Astyanax mexicanus: one gene and its partners. The protein of the gene in region 3 interacts with the protein of the main gene of each other region in a biochemical or structural test. Links are inferred from orthologs where the notes say so. Each region holds a gene or a part of one and is shown on either strand. Other genes may lie near its edges. The genes, in order: map2k7, mapk8ip1b and mitogen-activated protein kinase kinase kinase 11.

Evidence for each region.
Region 1: of the proteins of mitogen-activated protein kinase kinase kinase 11 (region 3) and map2k7, one has a biochemical effect on the other in vitro, tested with the Homo sapiens proteins (2 studies listed by BioGRID). The link is inferred for Astyanax mexicanus from reciprocal best matches to the Homo sapiens genes MAP3K11 and MAP2K7.
Region 2: the proteins of mitogen-activated protein kinase kinase kinase 11 (region 3) and mapk8ip1b form a complex in vitro, tested with the Homo sapiens proteins (2 studies listed by BioGRID). The link is inferred for Astyanax mexicanus from reciprocal best matches to the Homo sapiens genes MAP3K11 and MAPK8IP1.

What each region holds. Positions count from the first base shown.
Region 1 is NC_064428.1:26,978,131-26,986,105, forward strand, and holds the start of map2k7 (dual specificity mitogen-activated protein kinase kinase 7), read right to left. Parts: upstream 3,105-7,975; 5' UTR 3,052-3,104; coding exon 2,904-3,051; intron 1-2,903. Other genes in the region: pkn1a (serine/threonine-protein kinase N1), read right to left, coding at 7,476-7,679. UniProt on the Homo sapiens protein: Dual specificity protein kinase which acts as an essential component of the MAP kinase signal transduction pathway. Essential component of the stress-activated protein kinase/c-Jun N-terminal kinase (SAP/JNK) signaling pathway.
Region 2 is NC_064423.1:8,535,942-8,542,966, reverse strand, and holds the start of mapk8ip1b (C-Jun-amino-terminal kinase-interacting protein 1), read left to right. Parts: upstream 1-4,007; 5' UTR 4,008-4,022; coding exon 4,023-4,126; intron 4,127-7,025. UniProt on the Homo sapiens protein: The JNK-interacting protein (JIP) group of scaffold proteins selectively mediates JNK signaling by aggregating specific components of the MAPK cascade to form a functional JNK signaling module. Required for JNK activation in response to excitotoxic stress.
Region 3 is NC_064432.1:18,604,453-18,612,038, reverse strand, and holds the start of mitogen-activated protein kinase kinase kinase 11, read left to right. Parts: upstream 1-4,514; 5' UTR 4,515-6,389; coding exon 6,390-7,134; intron 7,135-7,586. UniProt on the Homo sapiens protein: Activates the JUN N-terminal pathway. Required for serum-stimulated cell proliferation and for mitogen and cytokine activation of MAPK14 (p38), MAPK3 (ERK) and MAPK8 (JNK1) through phosphorylation and activation of MAP2K4/MKK4 and MAP2K7/MKK7.

The DNA of each region.
Region 1 (7,975 bases), on a different chromosome or scaffold from region 3:
TTTTTTTATGAGAAGTTGCTATTTTCACTGTATTTATTTTTGAGTACCTGCATCTGTTTTTTTGTGATCTGTAGCTGTTTTGTTTACAGCAAAAATGTTATTGTTAAAAAATTTCTTTTAAATAATGCGCCTAGGGACCTAAATGTTCTGCACAGCTTTGTGCAAATGCCCATGTTCAGAAATATGTAAACAAATGCTGATATCAAACACACGGAAGGTTACACACCAGACTAAAGCGTTTAGAGAGAGAACAGATTACATTTAAGAAGACACATCAAATATTATCTATAATTACACAACCTACCCAAGACCAAGATAAACTTTATGCCCAAATGTATCACATTATTGAATTTAGCTACTGTCAAGGTTTGCAAATTGCTGACACAGGCACGTAACAGCTTGTAGATCCTCTATAATTCACCCAACACCTTTGAGATTTGTCAGAATAAATCAAATAATCCGCAACTGATCATATAACATCAGCACCTTACCTCACTATTGCTCTGATGGCTAAACATAATCAAATTCTCACATCAATGCTCCGGCAATTAGTGTGAAAGCCTTTTAGAAGACTACTTACTGCTGCAGTAACTGACCTGTCTCTACTGTTCATGGAAGAAAGTGTTCTTTCTAGATTTTGGAGGTGGAGGAGGAGATCTGCTGTAAGGTTTTGATAGCAATCAGTGACACAAGCATTAATGGGCTAATGGGTTGATCATGTTTGATGATTACCACTGTTCCTCATTCCCAACTCATGCTAAAAGTATTAGATAAAGAATTATTATTCCAGAGAACACAGTTCTTCCACTGCCACACAGTTTAATGCTGTGAGGCTTAACACCCCTCTTGTCAATGCCTGGTATTGGGCATGGTGCCAATAGGTTCATGTTTATCTGCTGCAGAGAATCTTATTCCATTGGCAATAGTTCTCCACACAAACTAAACACACTGTGGCGTGTGTGCATTTGCACATCTGTGTCAGCAATAGGTACAGCTACTTGCGGTAGCTAGCTAAATACATTCATCAGAAGTGGACTCCAACATTTAGCCAAATGTTTTTGCACCCCAACATTTAGACAATACCTTGTCGACACAGCAATACTAACTAAACATATCTACAGTTTACCATTTAGCCAATGCGTTTGGGCTTTAACATTCAACCAAAATATTGTGATCACATCTCTACCAGCCAAACATTTTTGTATTTCGTTATTTAGTCAAACGTTTCTGGACTCCAACATTTAACCAAATGTTTTTAAACTCCAACATTTAGCCAAAAGCTTCTGGACATAATTATATTAACAAAACATATTGGTTTCATTTAACCAAATGTTCTTTGACCCCAACATTTAGTTAAATGTTTTTGCACCCAAACATTTAGCCAATAACTTGTTGACACAGCTATACAAATCAAACATATCTGCATTTCACCATTTGCACAAACCATTTGGGCCGCAATAAATAGCTAAAAGCTTATGGATACATTTCTACTTACTGAACATTTAACCAAAAATTTGCCTCACAATTCTATCAAATAAACCCATGTATGTTTCACCATTTAACAAAATTCAGCTAAATGTTAATGATCTAAAACATTTAGTCAAAAGTATGTGTTTCACCATTTACCCAAATGATTTTAGACCCCAATATTTAGCCAGAAGCTGCTGGACACAATTCTATTAAACAAACATATGCGTTTCACCCTTCAACATTCAACCAAAATATTGTGAACACGGCTCTAATGTTACCAGTCAAACGTTTTGTTTTGTATTCCACTATTTAGTCATATGTTTTTGGACTCCAACATTTAACCAAATGTTTTTGTTATACAAAATTGAGCCAAAAGCTTCTAGACACAATTCTATATACCATATGCATATATGTTTCACCATTTAACCAGATGTTCTTGGGACTCCAACATTTAGCTAAATGTTTTTTGACCCCAACTAACTAATACCTTGTTCACACAGCTATACTAACTACACATATGTGCATTTTGTCACTTAGCCAATGCTTTTAGGCTCTAACATTCAACCAAAATATTGAGAACACAGCTCTATCATTTCATATCATCTATCACCTAAATTTCCTTTGGGATAAATAAAGTATGTATGTATGTATGTATCTATCTATCTATCTATCAGCCAAACGTTGTTTGTATTCGAATGTTTTTTGGACTCCAACATTAAACCAAATGTTTTTGACCCCAATATTTAGTCAGAAGCTTTTGGGCACTCTTATACTCTTCTATTTTTACAGTAACTGCACTCTCTCGCTAGTTAGTTACTAGGTTACGTTTTTAGCATTAGCATGGTAGCTAACGTTACCAGGTTTATGTCAGGCGTCTCGTTAGCTGGGGTTAGCTAGCTAGTGGCTATCTTGAGAAGGGTCAGAAAACTGAAGCGAAAAACGGATTCGCTGCCACACAGATGATTCAAAATGAATTTACAGAAAATTAATTTTCAGAGTTGATAATATTATACAGATATTACGTTATCCTAAAGTCCTCAGTTAGCCAGCTAACGCTAGCTAACCTAACGATACTAGCTGGAGTCATATTGTGAGGCTTGGGACGCGGGCCTGCTAATCAATTTAGCCAGTCAGTCAGTCAGTCAGTCAGTCACTTAGCTGGCTGGCTAACGGTTATTTAGCTAGTTAGCTCGGTTAGCTAGCGAAATGACCACGAATTAGACATTCTCCGCTATTATTCTTCACCTACAGGTTTATATATGTGTACCCAGTAGGCTCTACTCAGCGCCCGCGCTCTGCCAGGTCTTTAACCAGCTGTCAGTCTGATCAGAGCTCCGTGTTTGTTTATGTAGCCTGGTTAAGCTAACGCTGCTCCCCCCGATTCCGCCTCTCTCTCCACCACGGCGGCTCCGCAGTCTCCTCCGGACACTTACTCGGCCTGGGTCGGGAGCGCTGTGGGCTCATGTCGATGCTGAGGTCGATCCGCCTCCTCGCTTCTTTATTCTCCTGCTTCAGTTTCTCCTCGATTCGGGAGAGTCTCTGTTCCAGCGACGACATCTTGGAAAAATTCAGCAGCACCATCGAGCGGCCCCGGCTCTAAAACTCGCACACACACACATACACTCCCCCCTGGCGACGGTGCTGGAGGACAGCAACACACACCGACTCACACCAACACACACACTGCTGTAAAGGGTGCAACGATTCAGTAGCAGGGAACCACACGATACGATATTATCACGATACGATATTATTATCACAATAAGATATTATTATCACGATACGATTTTATCCCTATACAATCTTATCACGAAACGATATTGTTATCACGATACAATATTAATATCACAATACGATATTATCACAATATATCACGATACAATATTAATATCACAATTAGATATTCATATCACAATTAGATATTATCACAATATATCACGATACAATATTATTATCACAATACAATATTAATAGCATTAAACAATTTTATCACGACACAATATTATTACTATACAATATTATCTTAATATGATATCTTAAGAATACAACATTATCACGATACAATATTATCAAAATAAAATATTATCACAATACAATGTTACAACAACACGATATCACAATGTAATATAATCTTGATACAATATAATGGTACGGTACAATATCAAAATACGATATTATAACAGAACAATATAATCACAAAACAATATTTTCACAATATGTTATGTTATTATACAGCTTCTATGGGGCAGCATGGTGGCTTAGTGGTTTGCACGTTCAGCTTCCAGAGCTGGGGTTCTGGGGTCAAGTCACAATCTGGGTGTAGTTTCCATATTCTCCATGTGTGCGCGTAGGTTTCCTCCGGGCACTCCAGTTTCCTCCTACGCTAAATCGGATACTCTAAATTGCACTGATGTGAATGTGTGTACGACTGTATACCCAGATCCTAGGTCAAATTCTGCAGTGCCAGATGCTGACAACTTAGGGAGATGTTGATTTCATTTTCCAGCAGGACACACTGCCAAAGTACCAATTGGTCTTATATAATATTCTAATTTTCTAAAATACTGACTTTTGGGTTTTTTATTAGCTATAAGCCATAACCATCAACAATAAAAGAAATAAACACTTAAAATAGATCACTCTCTGTGTAATACATCTATATGATATGAGTTTTACATTTTGAAGTGAATTACTGAAATAAAGTAACTTTTCAAAGATATTCTTCTTCTCCACCCTTTTTTATTTCTTTTTCATTTCTTCTCCCCAACCCTTTTTTTGTTTGCACCTATTTATTTGTTTTGTTGCAAAAAATATTTGTTTTCCACCCATTTTCATGCAATATTTATTTTTCTCTTCATTTTATTTGTTTTCTGTTTAATTTTGTCACTAGTTGTCAGGAACTCTCCTTTTCTTATCCTAACCATTTCCAAGAGAATTTCCTTGGGAGATTTATTTATTTATTTTTCCACCCATTTTCTGTTTTTTTTTTTGGTGATTTCTTTATCCACGAGTCCTTTTACATTTGGTGTTGGACATTTTTCTTTAATAAATAATTTGATTCCAGTCAGTTCATGGAAACAATTTTACAGACTAAAATTTGGACATCAAATATTGCTCAAATTTGTATAAGTATTTAAACCTCTTAAAATGTATAGAGCTTCATTTATCCTATATATTTTATTACCTACCTTAAATACAAGCCACATATTGTTTTTGATATGTAAGCCTTTTTACAATCATTTAACAATACTGATATTTCATTATTTTATATAAAACTTTACCCAGGAAAAAGATTACTCAGGAACGTAAATCCAAAATGACAGAGGTGCCAAAATTCACACACATAAGAAAATAACACACACAAACACAGCAGTCTTATCAACAAGTCTTTATAAATACAGCTCAACACAGAGTTCTGATGAATTGTAATATAATAGTATACTGGACACAGTCATACCAATTCATCAACACTGACCTGCAAACCACAGGAAAATCGGACAACAGTTTTACTGTCCACATAAAAGCAGTGTTGTCGTCTCTGATTCGAAGATGGGTAATAAACAGACATTGATTTTGGAGGCCAAAGTTCATATTAAAGTTTGTGCTACATGTTTATCAGTGTATTCATTTTTTGTGGTATTGAAGTATGATTTTTCATTATTTTGCAGAATTAATCCCTTCATGACAAATTGCAAAATCCAGTGTTTCAAAGTAGAGAATTAAATAAAATGGGCTTAAAATGCTAAAACAGGAAAACAATATTGGGACTAATTTCCACCAAAACAAACTGAAACATTTATACTCCTTTCCTAGTTTCTGTCAGAAATTACACAGCCTTGTAGTTTTTAAAGTTAATTAGGTCCAACTCTTAAAATAAATCCTTCAGTAGTTTGTTTTCAATTCATTCTTTATCCACCACTTTGATAGTCACCATCAACAATAATCTAAATGCCTTTCTAAAGCTTGTATCTGCATATTGATATAATATATATAGTTTTCCAAACGTAACTATGAATGTATACAAAATTACCTTAAAAAAAGCTTTGAACAGTTAGGAACTGGTAAAGTTGACATATTGGAGATGCAACATTTTTGTAGATGCCTCTAATGGCTTGTAACTTATTCACTCACGCATGTTTAGCAAGACTGATTGTGGTGCTCCACATCAATGAGACTTTGTGTCCTTGTAACAGAATACTTAAAGTGGCAGTCCGTATTATTTTGTTTCTCAACTGAAAGCTGAAGCATTTCTGAGTGGAGAAGGGGTAAAATATTGTATTAAATGGTACCAGTGCGCTGGAACAACCATCCCCCCTAAGCCTAATATATATTCATTCTAAAAACTGGGTGTCTGGTCGCTTTTCGCTGGAGTTCTTCTGGCCATGTCACGCGTCTTTATGTCAAATGTACAGCCTCTAAAAGACGATCCGGCTCAGTTTTACTAAATACAAGCAGCTGGTGGAGCAATGGAGACTTTAGAAGGGAAAACTCTATAATTCACATTTTGACTAGCTAGAATAATATTAAGAGAATAAAATCTTTTAGACGTTTTACTAATTTTACTGACGAACACATAAAGAGATGTGCTGTAGCTGATCTTTAGGGTTACTGGAAAGGCATCAAAATGACTGTTAATGTCAACAATGCAGCAGATTAAGCTGAAGTTGAAAAACACTGAAGGGCTCTGCCTTTAAAAAAGTGTTGAATCAGTGTCTAGTACTTGCTTAAAACTTATCCAGAACAATATTCAGAGATGCTCTGTCAATGTACTAAACTGAATCTCACCATTAAAGGCACTGTATACGATTTTTAATACACCAATACACATTTTAAATAATTCAGCGAATGTTTCCTCACAGTTCCCTAACTCCCTGGTCTGTTTATGTGTTGGAAAAGATTCTGACATTTTGGTGCCTTACTTTGTAAATGGGAAATGGGCCACACGACATTATTAGGGGCCATTTAAGTGTGCGCCGAGGACTGGGAAAGGCATCGGCATGTGTAAACGTTGGTGAGGTATTTAAAAGATTGCAAGATTTCTGAACATCCTGAAGGGAGGAGTTTGTTTGTTTGTTTTGCACACCAACAGTTTGGTTCAAACACCAAGAATTGTTCTTCAGAATAATATACAGCACCTTTAATGGTCATTCTTTAACCCATTTAATCCTAAATGTGGGCACAATTCCATATTCAGGTTGTTCTTGTTGTTGTTCTCAAACATGAAACCTTTCAGTATAAGCAGTGTACGTAGCATTAGCTTGTATTAATCTTGACCTCATGATTCTCCGTACTGTATGTATATATATATATATATATATATTCATTCATCATCACATCACTTCATCATCATTGTCCATTCAAGGCTTCTTTTTTCAGTTCCTTTGACTAACATACTTAAAAGATTCTACGTAAAATTCTCAAAAGGGACAGAGTATAAAGTTAAGGCATTTTCAAAATCCAAAATCACAGTGTGTAAACGAGTGTCACTGGGCCAGGTCAGAATGGCAGCTGCTTGCTGTCCCGTTCTTCTACTGATGAACTTGTTTGACGTGAAAGGCAGAAGTGAGAGACAGAAAGAGGCAGTATAAGAAAGACTACATTGAAGTTTTTCTTTTTTTTTCTCAGCTGAAATTCACATTTCTATGTGTCATTATCGTTATATTGAGAATATGCCAGACAGCCTTTTACATCCCCTCTCTTGATGAGTAGTCCACATAATCTCCATCTCTAAATATTTTCTCTTCATTAGCGTAATCCGTTCTCCATCCCAGAGTAAAAACAAAAACTCCACACATTTACTGAGCTATAGTAGTCTCTTCAATCTTCATTCTGGCATCCATAAAAAAAAAAACCAAGCCATCCACAATGGCCGAACTTTTACTGTCACAGTGTAGTGGTAATGGTGCAGATCCGCCGTGATCGCAGTCAAAGAGATAATAAACATCCCTGGACGACTCCTGGACTGTACAACCTTTGATATCTCTGACAACTTCCTTCTGAGAATTTCAACAGAGGTCGGAGACGTATTCGAAGTCACGGAAGCTGTCCTGGTCTTTGCGCGAGAGCGTGCGAGGCTCCCTTGGCGGTGTGAGGGCAGGAGCTTCCGCCGTGAATTCTTCGTCAAAGTTGCTGACGTCTTCTTTTCCTCCGATGGAAGGAACGAAGGGGGGAGGGAGTTTGCGAAGGAGAAGAGCCTCCCAATCCATATTCTGAAAGAAAGTAAAAGATGGCGATGACGCGTTATATCAAAAACTCTTACAATTCCAAAGCAAAAATTGAGATTGCACAACTTGCTTAGAGGTGAATGGTTCAGGTTTGAAAGGTAGTGGTATCTGGAGAATTTGGTATTTTATGCCTATTGAAAGCTCCGTTCTACTGCTGTCCCTACATATCTGCAAATGTGTTTGGACATGCATATGCAGACATTCACTCAAATGTCTGCAAACATAATGAAACCATGAAGTGAAAAATGTGTACTAGGTGGCAGAGTCCAAGTCAGACAGTA
Region 2 (7,025 bases), on a different chromosome or scaffold from region 3:
AAGACATTAGACCATTTTTCATTGATTTTTGCTATTTTTTTGTATTTGTTTTACTTTGGGAAAATTACATTCTTCAATAAAACATACAAAATATAAACTGCAAAACTGTTTTTATTCAGATTTGTGAATCAGTTTAAGTAATACACTAAAAGGACAAGATTTAAAGGAGTCAGTTCCAAAACTAAAGAAAACCCCGGAATCAGACCGGTTACTCTGTGCTTCAGTCTCAGAGACAGCTGCCCTACTAATGCTGCCCCATCAGTAACAGGACAGATGCTCAGAGGATTTATTTGCTCATTTACTTTACATAACGTTAGTGTAATTCCTGACAACAACAAAATCACTGAGTCACGTCAGTGTTTCAGTTTTACACGTTCTGTGACGATTCTCACTAAATCCAGTTACACAATAAAAGCTTTCAAATGGTGAACGTCCACAGAGGCCCCTGATTTAGGATTTATGTAATAGACAGTCACTTTATCAGAACAGAGAGCTCTTAAAATATCCTCCCGATTATTATATGTGAATGTACACAAGCCAAATTATCACTTTGTCGGCATCAATTTTCAGGCTTTTTTTTGGGCCTCTGAAGGAGTTCTGTTGTATCTGGCATCAAGACATAAGCAGCAAATCCTAAGTCCTGTAACTTCAGAGATTTGATTTCACACCTATCTACTTTTTAGTTTTATCTGAATTAAAATCAGGCGATAGTAGTGCAATAGTAGGTCCAAAATTTGGTCTGACCAAAAAAGGCGTTGTCGGTCCAGATCAGCTTTTCATGTTTCGGGTGGTTTACTTTCAGAACAATTATGGGAAGTTGAGTCAAGCTAGCGTCACCCATTTTACAATGGAAGAAGAAAAAGAAAAGGTGTTGTGATGAAATCTCTTCTTGGATATGTGCAGATGCGTCACACAGCAGTATGGCTACAACTGTATGCTGTAGAATACTGTAACTGTAGAATAACCCTTATTTATAAACAGAAATAAAAGGAATCCAAGGAGAACCTTTTACACTGGTTCTGCTGCGGTTTCTGGCACAACATCTGGAAAGGCAACTCACCGAACTTACTTATCAAAGCTCTTTAAGCTGCTCGCTAAATTGCAGTCAGTGTAAAACCAAAACTAATCAAACCAAATTAAACAATCAATTAATCAGCCCCTTACTGCAACTCCTATAGTTCACCTGCACCCACTTTCAGCCCTCACTCCAACTCCCATAATTCTCTTGCACCCACTATCAGTCACTCACTACAACTCCCATAATTCACCTGCACCCACTATCAGACCACTGTTTCACGCAAAAGGTGTGCTCTGGGTCCGGTCATGCAGCAGTATGAACACAAACGCTTAGACTGGGAATTAATTTATTTACTGTAACAGTAGATTAATCCTTATTTAGCAGCAGAAATGAAAGTGAGGATTATCTTTTACACACATGCTGCTGCAGAGAGCCTGTGTATGTAAAGAGCAATCAGATTCTGACAGAGAGCTAGAATTCGCCACAACACCTGGGAAAGCAACTCACTGAACTCATAAAAACACTCTACAAACACATAAATATAAAGTATAAAGAGACTCCGTCCTTGTGACTGATGACGACAAGATGTAGTAAAATTCTTTAGCCCGTTCACTAAAATGCAGTGTAAAAATAAGACTAACAGGACCAAATGAACAGAATGTAACAAACACATGAAGTTGCGTGCGGACACTGGTCCAGATATTTAGATTTGAAAAAAAAAAAAACACACTTAAATTGAACTTGGTTTCTGCTTGGCATTTAGAGGACTCATACACAGAGAAGTGGCACAGTGTGTGTGACTGGGCTCATCTATCTGCCAAAACACAGTGTGTGTGTGTGTATGAGATTGTGTTTTTGTGTGTGGAGAGAGGGGTCTTTATGTCATTGTGCTACTTTACCACACCCTTCCCTCTACCCAGGCTATGATTTATTTATTTACACACACACACACACACACACACAGAAACATTACCTCATACACCAATCATCAATAATAATGAGTTCAAGTCTCAGCAGTCGTAGTATTTATAAAAATGTAATGATGTACACATTTTAAAAACATTACAGACACACAAGACTGATTTTTCCTGTTTGATAAATGTAGCAAATTAATGCATGCTGTAGATTGTGTGTCATATTTTAGTTTATGATGCAGTTTAGGGTCTAGGACTAATGTGTCAGTTTGAATGTTTTTAAAATGCATATGATTATAATTTTTACTACGTTTCTCACCATGTTTATTTGTTATATATATCACCGATTCGAATCCTGTATCATGCTATTTCCCCATCAGCAGCCAGAGTCTGAGAGAGTACAGTAGATCATACTGCTTCTCTCTCTGGGTGGGTACAGTAGGTGGGGCTCTCTCCCCTCATCACTCCCGTTGTGATCCTGGTCAGTAGAGGCGTCTGTTAGCTGATGCATCAGAGTTTGGTTGGGCCTTTTTTTAAGCACACTAGATACCTGGTTATGATACCTGGAAGGTACCTGTATACCTGGACATGGAGGCTGACTTCACATGTAGCCGAAAGGGTGTGCATCTGTCCGCACCTTTCTAGTGTTGGAAGAACATTACTAGTGATGGGGAGAACTAAGAAGGGGTGGGGTAATTGGCCTTCCAAAACTGGGTAGAAAATGGATACAATTAAAGAAAATAAATTACTAATACACCACTGGAACACTGAAACACTGGAACATTGAAACACTAGAACACTGAAACACCGGAACACTGAAACAATGGAACACTGGAACATTGAAACACTAGAACACTGAAACACCGGAACACTGAAACACTGGAACACTGAAACACAGGAACACTGAAACACCAGAACACGGAAACACCAGAACATGGAAACACCGGAACACTAAAACACTGGAACACCGGAACACTGAAACACTGGAACACTGCAACATCAAAACACTGGAACACTGCAACACCGGAACACTGAAACACAGGAACACTGATACACCAGAACACTGAAATACCAGAACACTGAAACACCAGAACACTGAAAACTGGAACCCTGAAACACCAGAACACTGGAACACTGAAACACCAGAACACTGAAACACTGGAAAACTGAAACACCAGAACGCTAAAACACTGGAACACTGAAATACCAGAACACTGAAACACCGGAACACTAAAACACTGGAACACTGAAACACCGGAACACTAAAACACTGGAACACTGAAACACCGGAACATTGAAACACCGGAACACTGAAACACAGGAACACTGATACACCAGAACACTAAAACACCAGAACACTGAAACACTGGAACACTGAAACACCAGAACAACGAAATACCAGAACACTAAAACACCAGAACACTGAAACACTGGGACACTGAAACATCAGAACACTAAAACTCCAGAACACTGAAACACTGAAACACCAGAACACTGGAACCCTGAAACACCACAACACTGAAACACTGGAACAACAAAACACTAGAACACTAAAACACTGGAACACTGAAACACCAGAACACTGAAACACCAGAACACTGAAACACCAGAACACTGAAACACTGAAACACAGGAACACTAAAACAATGATACACTGATATAATGTGCAGCAATTCCAATCTATTTCTGTTATGAAATCAAAAAATGATAAAAATTTAATGTTTTTTTAGTCAGCAGGGGGCGATCTCACCCATATTATTTTTTACTAAATTGTAATATATACATATATATTTCTTTAACACGTATTTATTTGTATTAACATTCTTATCACCAGACTGCCTCTGTAAACAGCTGTGTATTTATTGAGGGAGTTTCAGCTGCGGCTCCGCGCGCGGGCTGATCAGACTGCTGGAGCTGTTGTTTAGACCCTGACGGTCCCTCATATTTACCTCGAGAGCCCCGGCGGAGAGGCGGAGAGCGGGAGCTGAGACAGCAGCCCCTCCCTCCGGCCGCAGCCCTCACTGCCTCCCGCTCCCCCTCCTCCTCCTCCTCCTCCTCCCTCCACGGAGCTGCTGCTGCTGCTCCTCCAGATGAATGGGAAGAGGGAAGGCATGGCGGAGAGAGAGCGGAGGAAGACCCCGGCAGCAGCGTCCAGCTCCCGGGCACCGCGCCTCGACTCCCCGGCCAGCTGCAGGTGAGAAGCCGCTGCTGCTGCGGGGATAAATGTGTGTGTAGTATGTTTAAGTGTAAGTGTGTGTGTGTGTGTGTGTCCCATCTCGTTTGCTGCCATCCCACCTGGGCTGTAGCAGCTGCTTGTTGATAGCGATGGGTCGCTGATAAGGGAGGAATCAGAGGAGTACAGGCGGTTTATGGGGTGTGTGAGTGTTTGTGGTGGTGTATGGAAGCAGATTGCAGGCTGTATGGGTGTGTCTCTGCTGTTGGGATGGGCAGATAAGGCAGAAGTTTGAAGGGAGAAGTGTTTTTGGAATGAGATGCAGGTTTGATTGGTACAGTGCAGAAAAAAATATATAAAAAAATACAAATATATATACAATAGAAATAAATGATAACAGTGCAGATTATTGTTAGAGTGTTAAGAAAATGAATATTGCTATTATGTGACTGAGGTAGCCGATAATAGATAATAAATAGATACTGAACTGAAATGGCGATTTATAGTTTATGCTACATTGTTAAGGAAAAAAAAGGTATTTTTCCAAATTGGGTCCACCTGATCAGCTCATGGCCCAGTCAAAGCTGCAGGAGGTTAAAGCAGAGAAAACACTAAAATGCTGAAAAAATACAAAGTCGGGGGATGCCAGCACCAGAACTGACAAATACTGGAGTAGGAGTGTTAAAGGGCCCATAGTGTAGGTTTAGTGGTGGGTTTAAATGGAAAATAAAATAGATATATTACTATTGTTATTGTTGTAGTAGAGACTGGTTCAATTTACCACTACAGTAGCTACTGAGCCAGTACATTTCTCTACAAACTGAACATTTCACACCAAAAACTCATTACGACATTACTTTGTTTACCTCCTAATTATTCATCCAGATGATTTTGAAGTGGTGTTATACATTGTTATATTGTACATTGTACATAATGCATTGTTTACAGGTAATTGAATTATGCATAAATTAAAATGAAGGTTCTCCACATTCTCAATCACATTATACACTGAAAACAGTGCATATGCAGGCTAGCTAATTAATAATGAATGGCCTAAAAATAAAATAGTAAAATCCCTAAACTCTATGGCTGATGTTAGGGCTGACAGTATATTGTGTATTGTTCAAAATGTGCAAATTAATTCCAGGAAAAAAACAAACATGTGTTGTTTGTGTAGAGAGTAGTGGTGTTTTGGAGGTATAACAGAGTAGAGTACAGATCTGTAGAGTACAGATTAGTGTAAATGTTGTAAAAACATCAAATATAAGGACAAAACATATTTAAGTGTATTACTTAAATACACAGTTATCTATTTGCTATTTACATAGCCATCATATATATTTTTATTGAGGAAGAAAAAAAGGGAAAAAATAAGTAATATATAGTATAAAAGCACAGGAATAATAGACAAAAAAATAAATGTACAAAACAAAATAAAACAACCCAGCACCCCTTTTTTCTTTTTCTTACCTTCCCCCTTTGTCTTCCTTTCTTTTTCTTCCTTCCCCTTTTTCCCCTCTGCTTTATCTTCCCTTATTTTTTCTTTCTTTCTTTCTAGGCCTTTACACCTTATTTAATTTTTTTTCTTTTAAACCCCTTTTAATATCGCCATTTATTGTCAAAGACTATCAAGTATGAAATATTTTAAATATTGATCGTTTTTCAGTCATATTGGCAGCCAGAGCTAATATAGCTCTCACATATAATTGGAGCATTTTAGAAGCATTTAGCATAATTATTTAACCAAAGATGTTTGTGGAAAAATTTACTGGTGGGGTTGGGAACTTGGCTGTGAGATGTGCAGAGATTTTGCCCTATAGAGTAAAACTGCTTAAACTGAAGTTCTTATTTAAGCGTCCCACAGAATAATGCATGATGCTGGATTATTTTTGTACCATTAAATTATAGATTCTGAGTGAAATGCTTTTAAATTTAGAGGTCATTAATTGCCGTGATCCATGCTTGCTCTATTCGAGGTGCACTGAAGCGATCAGCAGTTCTGCAGGACCATCAGCTTCATGTGTTTTGGCAGCCTGAAGCTTATACGCCATGTAACAGTGGAACCGCCTGCTACAGCAGGATTTGGGTAAACTAGGGGCCGGATATTAATTAGAAATGTTCTGAAGGAATCTGTCTCTGTACTGGAGTTAAAGTAAACGGCATGTACAGTGTATCTACTGTGCAGAGTTAGACTCCAGGATCAAACGGTTTCTGGAAGTCTCTGAGTTTAATCGCAATGTGCATTTCCTGTGTACGGTCTAATCCTGCAGTCTTACTGTAATAAACTACAGAAGGCCTCGTTTCAGAGCTCTCCACGTCCTGGCGTTCACCCAGACACGGGCATCTGCTCAGCTCCGTCTATATACAGTATCTCTGCAGGGTCACTCAGGCTGAATGGCCTTGTTTTTATACCCAGTAATAAGAAGACATTCCATCACAACAAGAGTCACAACCTAAACAAATCATTTATAGCACCAAGGGCCCCAAATTCTGCATCCTATTTTAAATGTATGTATTTATTTATATATATAATTAATATAACTATTTGCAGGTGCAGCTTTACTCTCAAATAATGATGTGATGATAGTGACAATTCTTTATCTTTATCTTTATCCTTAATCTAAAAAAAACTATAGACTGTTATACTGTTTCTATTACTATACCTTTAATGCTCAAATACATGTAAACAAGCTCTGTTATAATTGGCTCTGCCTTGCTGTGAGGATTTGATTGCATTTTGTGGCATTTTTACCTCTCTGGCCTATACCTGTCATTAGGCATGAAGCCAATCTGCTCATGATTGTCTGCTCCAGATAATACAGCTGTGTTTCCAGCTGTTTGAACTGGATTGAATTTTAACAGTGTTTTCTCACTGGTTCAATCCTTTAGCTCAGGACAGTGAGTAAAATTCAGTTTTACA
Region 3 (7,586 bases):
CTTAAAGGATCTGCTGTTAATGTGGGTCACAAGAGCCGGAGAATTTGTTGTCTGAGGAGTGTTGCCGCTGTTTAAACTCTACAGCTAACTTGTTTCAGGCCTCTACAGCACAGATGCTGTTTTATACCCACATCAGTTGTACTAATGTAATTAACCTCAGTGAGTGAGTCACGCTCTGATGACTGAGATTAGCTCCAGATAATTGCTGGTTTTTGCATTAATCCGTTTGGGAAAGTCGTTAAACTGCACTACGCTAATCCAGCTGGAAAATCACATGGATGTGTGGTCTGGCCTTCTGAAATGGTTGTGTGGTGAGTGTGATATTATTTTATGATAAACACTGTATAGTGTTTCTTTAAGACAGAGCTCTGTTTTGATTGGTTGTGCCTCATTTAGAAAGCTTCAGGAGCTGAAACTCTTCTACTAACTACCGCGTGAGTGGGGCTAAGTCGTGTTAAGATGGAAAAGTAGGAGATGTAAATTAGTTTGCATTTGTGACATTGCAGAAACTAGCAGTTTTGGGAGTGTAGTTTCCATATATGAAGTGTATGGATTGTACGGAATCAGTATATTTACACCTAGATTTCTTTTCTTTTTTCTTTCTTTCAAATTTTCCATTATTTTACCATCATTAACATTTTACATAAAACTGAGTAGACGTGTCTAAATTCACAGGTGGTTTTGGATAGAAAATATCATGGATATTTTTGTGTTAAAGTCATGGTGACCTTTATGGTTTCTGTCAGCACCACGTTGAAGAAATCTGAAACCAGTCCATTGTTAGTTAGCAACACTAGTATTTCAGTTATATTGGACTATGATACTATATATACTATCATTTTTGTAACATAATTCCTCTGCTGAAGAATCAAGCTCAGGCCAGATTTTGCTGATAGATGGGTTTTGATGGCCTAAGCTCGTCTTTAATGTTCAGTTTGGTCTTTATATCTCTCATAATACTGTGTGTGACCTTAGTTCTTTCACATTCTTTGGCTTTTGTTTCTGTGAGAACTGAAGTGTTTCTGGCTGTTCTGCCAACATAAACTGCTGGAAGTTCTATCTATTCTCCTATCTTCTGCCTTCTAGTGTAATTTATCACCTTGTGCTTAGGCCAGAGTTTCACTTTTGACAACTAACAAACAGCAATTTATACTTAGCCCATATTTTACTGTAAAGCAATGTAAACACATAGCTGCTGAACTCATGTATACCTGGCTAGTTATTACTGGAGCCAGTGACAGCTCACTCTGGTAACCAGTAATTTACTAGGTCTATGTTTTACAGTCATCTGCGTAGATGTCTAGAGTAAATGGTTGAGTAAATCCACTCTATTGAGGACAGATCAGTACTGCAGGCAGAATAGTCCAGTACCTGTACCCTTGACTTCTAGTCATGCCATGGCAATGTGTGCAGCATGCTGTTTTGCATTGTCTTGCTGAAAAATTATTGTACGTCTCATTAGTCGAAAATGCCATTTTATGTATTAAATGCACTGAGAAAACTCTATCATTACAGACCATGACATTTGGGCTTGTAGCTGATAACAGTCTGAAGCACACAGTGTCCATTTCTTTCCCAAAAGATTTGAAATACTTTTTACATGTAACCAGAATACACATTTCCACTGCATGATCACGGCATTCATCTCCAATGCCTCAAAGCTCAGAAGGCGCCACTTCTAGAACATTTTCACATAAGGCTTCTGTTTTGCATTAAGATACAGGAATAGATAAACATAAACAAATGAATTAAAGTTGACCAAATTTTGTGCAATGTGCATTCTCCACACTGACCCAACTTTTTCAGATTTGTGGCTGTGATTGTTACTTTCCAGGGTCATAATTTATTTAAAATAACATAACAAAAGAGAACTTTTGCTACATTTGAGTTTTTTTAATTAACTAAACTGCAGATACAGATAATCTGTATTTACTGGCCTATTGTTCATGTTTACCTTGAATTGACAGACACACAATGAAATAGTGTGAAACTATAATAACACTCAAAGAAATACTGAAGCAACAAAACAGTTGTGTCTGTTGTCTCTTGTTAATTTCTGCAACAAGACTCAATCATTAATGTGTGTGTGTCTGTCTGTCTGTCTGTCTGTCTGGGTGTGTGTGTGTGTGTGTGTGTGTGTGTGTGTGTGTGTGTGTGTGTGTGTGTCGGTGTGTGTGTGTGTCGGTGTGTGTGTGTGTCGGTGTCGGTGTGTGTGTGTGTGTCGGTGTGTGTGTGTGTTCATACACGGGCCATTCTCTATCTGTTCCTCTTTTTATATATTGTAACACTCAGGGCAGCTACTGGGCCACAAAAACAACTGCATCCTTCCTGAAGAAATGATGACTCAGCTGTGTGTGTGTTGTGTGTGTGCGCGTGTGTGAAAGAAATAGAGAAAGAGTGAAGATATGTTCTTAAAAGAGAGGGAAAACATAGATTATTTTAAGGGTATTAATGGTACTTTAAATAAATAGTGATATTAAATAGTTTAATAATAATCAAACATTGATTCTATTGTAATGAACTGGGAAGCTTCCAACTCCTGGTGTTTTGTAGAATGTATAGATGAGTGTGCACTATGGGAATCTTATGACTATAACTATGGGTTCAGTGAATGATTTGGGATTCACCCTCAAAACAAAGGGCCACTGTGGAAAGCCATCAAAGCATTCAACCATGGAGAATCAACTTTTTCTCCAAACAAGAAGAGTCAGACACAGCCCCCTAGTGTCTTGGAGAGCACTGGTCTGAGATCAGGTGTGAATAAATTGGTTTATGTGTATTTTTGGTATGCTAAGGGATATTTGTGCTATTGGAGTCAAGTGGGTCTGCTAATGTTTCATACTGAACCATGTACTGACTTTCAGGCATTTGCGGGTTGTTTTAATAAAAAGTGGACTGTATTAAAAAAGTAAATAAGTTTGAAAAAAAAAACAAGTTCTGGTCATAACTTATTACACAAGTTATTGCAGTGTTTAAAATGCTTCAGACATGTGTTTGTAATGTGTGCAGCATGTGGTTTTGCATTGCATTGCTGTAAAAAAGCATGGATGCCCTTGGAAAATATGTGGTCTTAGGGGCAGCATATGTTGCTTTAAGGTCTCAGTGTACTTTTTTATTCATTAATGCTGCATCACGGAAGTGTACTGACTTACTTATACATACATATTTATGACAATAGCCAATCAAGATATGTCATAACAGTGCCTCTACTATGTATGACTCTGTTAACTGTTCAATGATCTTTGTGCCTGTCAAAATAGAGAAACTTTCTAAATGGGTAATATGATATTTCTGTTAAATCCCTTTGATCCCACCTTGGCCACTTATTAAAGTAATATAAATAAGCTGAAGTACAAAAAACACAGTTTTAATACTTATTCACGTGACTGTACATATTTATCTGTATTGTGCATTATATACCGTAAACATATTTTCTATTTGCTGTTATCTGCTTGGTGATCTGAAGTAGAGATTACTATCTATAACTTGAACAACCTGAAAACTCTCAGCTCATAACCACAAACACAGTAGTTATAAATATCGAGCAACACCAGAGCGCGAATTACACCCCCTTATTAATACTTAAACCTCCCAAACAATAGAGAGCTGTCCAGGTATAGGATCTGTATTTTCTTTTTCCATTCTTGAATAAAATATACCTGACTTTTTGAAAATGAAATGAGGTAATTCATAAATTTGAGTTTTAACAATGCTTTTATACACTGAGGTGATGAAATTTGCTGTTGAATTTCAAAATAACATATATATATATATATATATATATATATATATATATATATATATATATATATATATATATATATATATATATATATGCATATGTCCCCCCCCCCCCATTTTAGCTAAAATATACATTTTAATAATCAAAAATTGCACACATCTGAGAAATGCTGATATAATATATTATATTTTGGCTAAAAAATCGAGAATTTCTCATATATCTTAATGATGATTTTTCTTGATTTTGCCCATTTGAAAACCTCTGGAATATAATCAAGAGGAAGATGGATGATCACAAGTCATCAAACCAAGCTGAACTGCTTGAATCTTTGCACTAGTAGTAGCATAAAGTTATAAAGTAGCATAATGTTCATTTTACTCAAACATTAACCTATAAATAGCAAAATCAGAGAAACTGATTTAGAAACTGAAGTGGTCTCTTAATTTCTTTTTTTTTCCTGAGCTGTATTTTTATTTTATTTTTTACAATATCCCCTAGCCCTTATATATGTACTTTATTTTTCTCTATGAATAGAAAATGTAACGCAAGATTTCCAAATCAAATTCATGATTAAAACTAATGTAAGAGAGACCATAAAAACACAACTTTTTTTTTTTTTAAAGTTGGAGACCACGTGACCATCACTGCTCAGCAGCAGGTGCGCGCGCAGCGAGCGCTCGTCTCGAAGCAGCGCCTAGGGTTTGGAGCTGTGGTGCTCTAGTTAGGACGCGAGTGCGCGGATTGGACAGCGGCCAGAGTCAGAAAGCGAAACCCCACCCTCCGGACTGCGTACTGGCAGCAGCGGCGCAGAGCGGAGCGACTGTACGGAGCCCGGGGGGAGAGAGCGCGCGGAGCGGCGGGGCTACAGCGGCGGAGACACACGGGACCACACACCTGTTTAAGGGCTGAGGAGGTGAAGAGCCGCGCGGAGCCGCGGAGAGAGAGCGGGGTGCGGACCACCTCTGTAAACAGGAGCGAAGTGGAGGAGGAAACTCTTCCTGTTCAGAAGAAGTCTGATCTGAGGAGTTCCAGCGCTGAGAGAGAGGAGATACAGAGAGAGACACTGTGAGTCTGAGGGTCTGTGAGGAATGGAGAGAAGTAAGACTGGGTTTTACTGCGTTTCACAGAGTTTTTAAACGTTTTTAAAAAATCCTGGTCTCTTATAAACTCTTTTTTCCTCTCTCTGGCCCCCTCTCTCTCTCTCTCTCTCTCTCTCTCTCTCTCTCTGGCGCGCTCCTTTCCTGCCATTCTTCTGCGCGCCTCTGCGCTTCCTGCTCGGACTGACCAGAGCACTGGACGACTAAAAATACTGACAAGTCAAAATGGACAACTAGCCACATGCTCCCCTGCTCCTCACCTTCATATTTATCCTGAAGATTTAGTTTTTGGATTTGTGGATATCCTTATACTCCTACCGTGTTGGACTTTGGACTCCATCAGTTTATCTTCTGTGAGATTTGAATGGTCAGCAGATCCTGGACCTGTTTTTTTGGTTCTGAAGTTATAAATATAAGGCTAAAGGATAAACAATAAACACCCTCTCTAAAGAGCTTCGATAAGGCCTCAAATATGAGCAAACTTTCTAGGGTAGTACGCTAAATCGTATTTTTATCAATATTGTTTTTATGAACTCCTTGAATAGCTCCTTGAAAATTGCACTACCTGCTTGCAGCAACAGAGGCTAGTGCTGTATGATAGTGTATTTTTAATTGTTATTCTGATACACATTTTTGAACCAGCTTCGATAAAGCCTTGAATATCAGCAGAATAAAAAAAATTGCATTACCTGCAGACTGCTATGTCTGTACGATAAATCGCTTTTTAAAGTTAATCACAATAAGAGATTTCACGATAAACACCTGAGGCAAACAAACAAAAGAGCTGCGATAACTACTTAAATAACCCTGAATTGCATTGCTTGCTTGCAGCAACAGAGGACTGTACGATAAATCATATTTTCTTCATTATCGCAATATGAGTTTTTAGAGTAAAGGGCTGTGATAACTTTTTAAATAACAGCAAACCCAAAATGCTTTATCTTTGTGCGGCACAAGAGGGAGTTCTTCCTGTTACAGGCTAGTATGATAAATTAGATTTTTAGCATTATCGTGATATGAGAGATAAGGTTTATCGTAAGAGGCCCGATTGCAGCCAAGCCAAGTGCCAGAAACTAGTTTAATGGGATACACAACGGTGTTATCACACATTGTGTTTTTTGTCTATATTGGGCTTCCGTATGTTCCTCCATTCCTCTCCATGTTCTTTCAGCTCTGTAAGAAGCAGAAGCTGAAGTGAGCTCAAGTACGTAAGTGCATGGAGACCAGTTGGTGTCCAGGTTCCAGGTTCTCCCACACACAACCCATTCTTTGGTTAACTTTCTTTTGGCCTAAAGCCTGACTAAAGCCTGCCCCAAACTTCCATGGAGCCGTAGGCCTGTGATATCCATGTCCACAGTTGTTGGGGTGTCATTGTGGAGTGCTCTGGCTGGCGATGGCTGTGTGACCTTGCACTGCTTGTGCTTGAAGCTGGATGCAGAAGGCCCTCATGAACCTTCCAGAGGGGTCGCATCGGGAGAGAGGCGACGGGAAGTACACAGTTCGACAAATCAAGTCGCCATTTAAACCACGTTGTGCACAGAGAACCACACATGGAGCCGCTGAAGAGCATATTTACCCGCGGCCCTCTGGTGCCCTGGAAAAGCCTGCAGGACTCTCAAAAAGGGAGCTTCAGCAACCCGGTGTGGACCGCTTTGTTCGATTATGAAGCATCAGGAAAGGATGAGCTGACCCTGCGCAAGGGAGATGTTGTGGAGGTCCTGTCTTTGGACTCTGAGGTGTCTGGAGACGAGGGCTGGTGGGCGGGCAAGGTGAACAACAAGGTGGGCATCTTCCCCTCCAATTATGTCTCGCTCAAGCCCAGTGGCTATGGTAAACTGCCCCCTAGTGTGGGCGACGTGGCCCACGAGCTACAGTTTGAGCCTGAGGTGGTGGATTTTCGGGAGTTGAGCCTAGAGGAGGTCATAGGGGTTGGAGGCTTTGGGAAAGTGTACCGGGGCACCTGGAGAGGCGGGCTGGTGGCCGTCAAGGCAGCTCGGCAGGATCCGGATGAGGATATTAGTGTGACTGCGCAGAATGTGCGCAACGAAGCAAGACTCTTCGCCATGCTTACGCATCCCAACATCATCGCCCTCAAAGGGGTGTGCCTGCAGGAGCCCAACCTGTGCCTCATCATGGAGTACGCTTCCGGTGGGCCGCTGAGCCGGGCCCTGGCCGGCAGACGCATCCCGCCGCACGTCCTGGTGAACTGGGCCGTGCAGATCGCTCGAGGGATGCTGTACCTGCACAATGAGGCCATAGTACCTGTCATCCACCGTGACCTCAAATCAAACAACAGTAAGTAACCCACATTGCAAGCTATTGTCTGTGTATTGTTACTGTGATATTGGGCTTTGTGATGCACTCTATAGGGGGATCTTCAAGTTCTTAAATGTAGTTCAAGCGATAGGTGTAAACCATTACATTCACACTCATTCACAGAGTCAGAGTTGGTGTGAAATGGTTAATCGTAGAGATACTCACTTTGATTTCCTTACAGTGGTGCTAAAGGTAGCCAAATCTGGAAAAATACATCTTAATAGAGAACTATTTAGCCTTACAACACCCTGCAATAGTTCAGCCACTATGAACAGTTTAGGCCAAAAACTTTTCAGTACTATGGGAACTTAATGCCTCAGGCACCAGGCACAATATTCATGACTTTTTGTGCAATAACTTTGTGAGAGAGCTTTTCAGGGCATTAAACTTTTCAGACACTGACAATATGCAGAACAATAACTCCATGCATG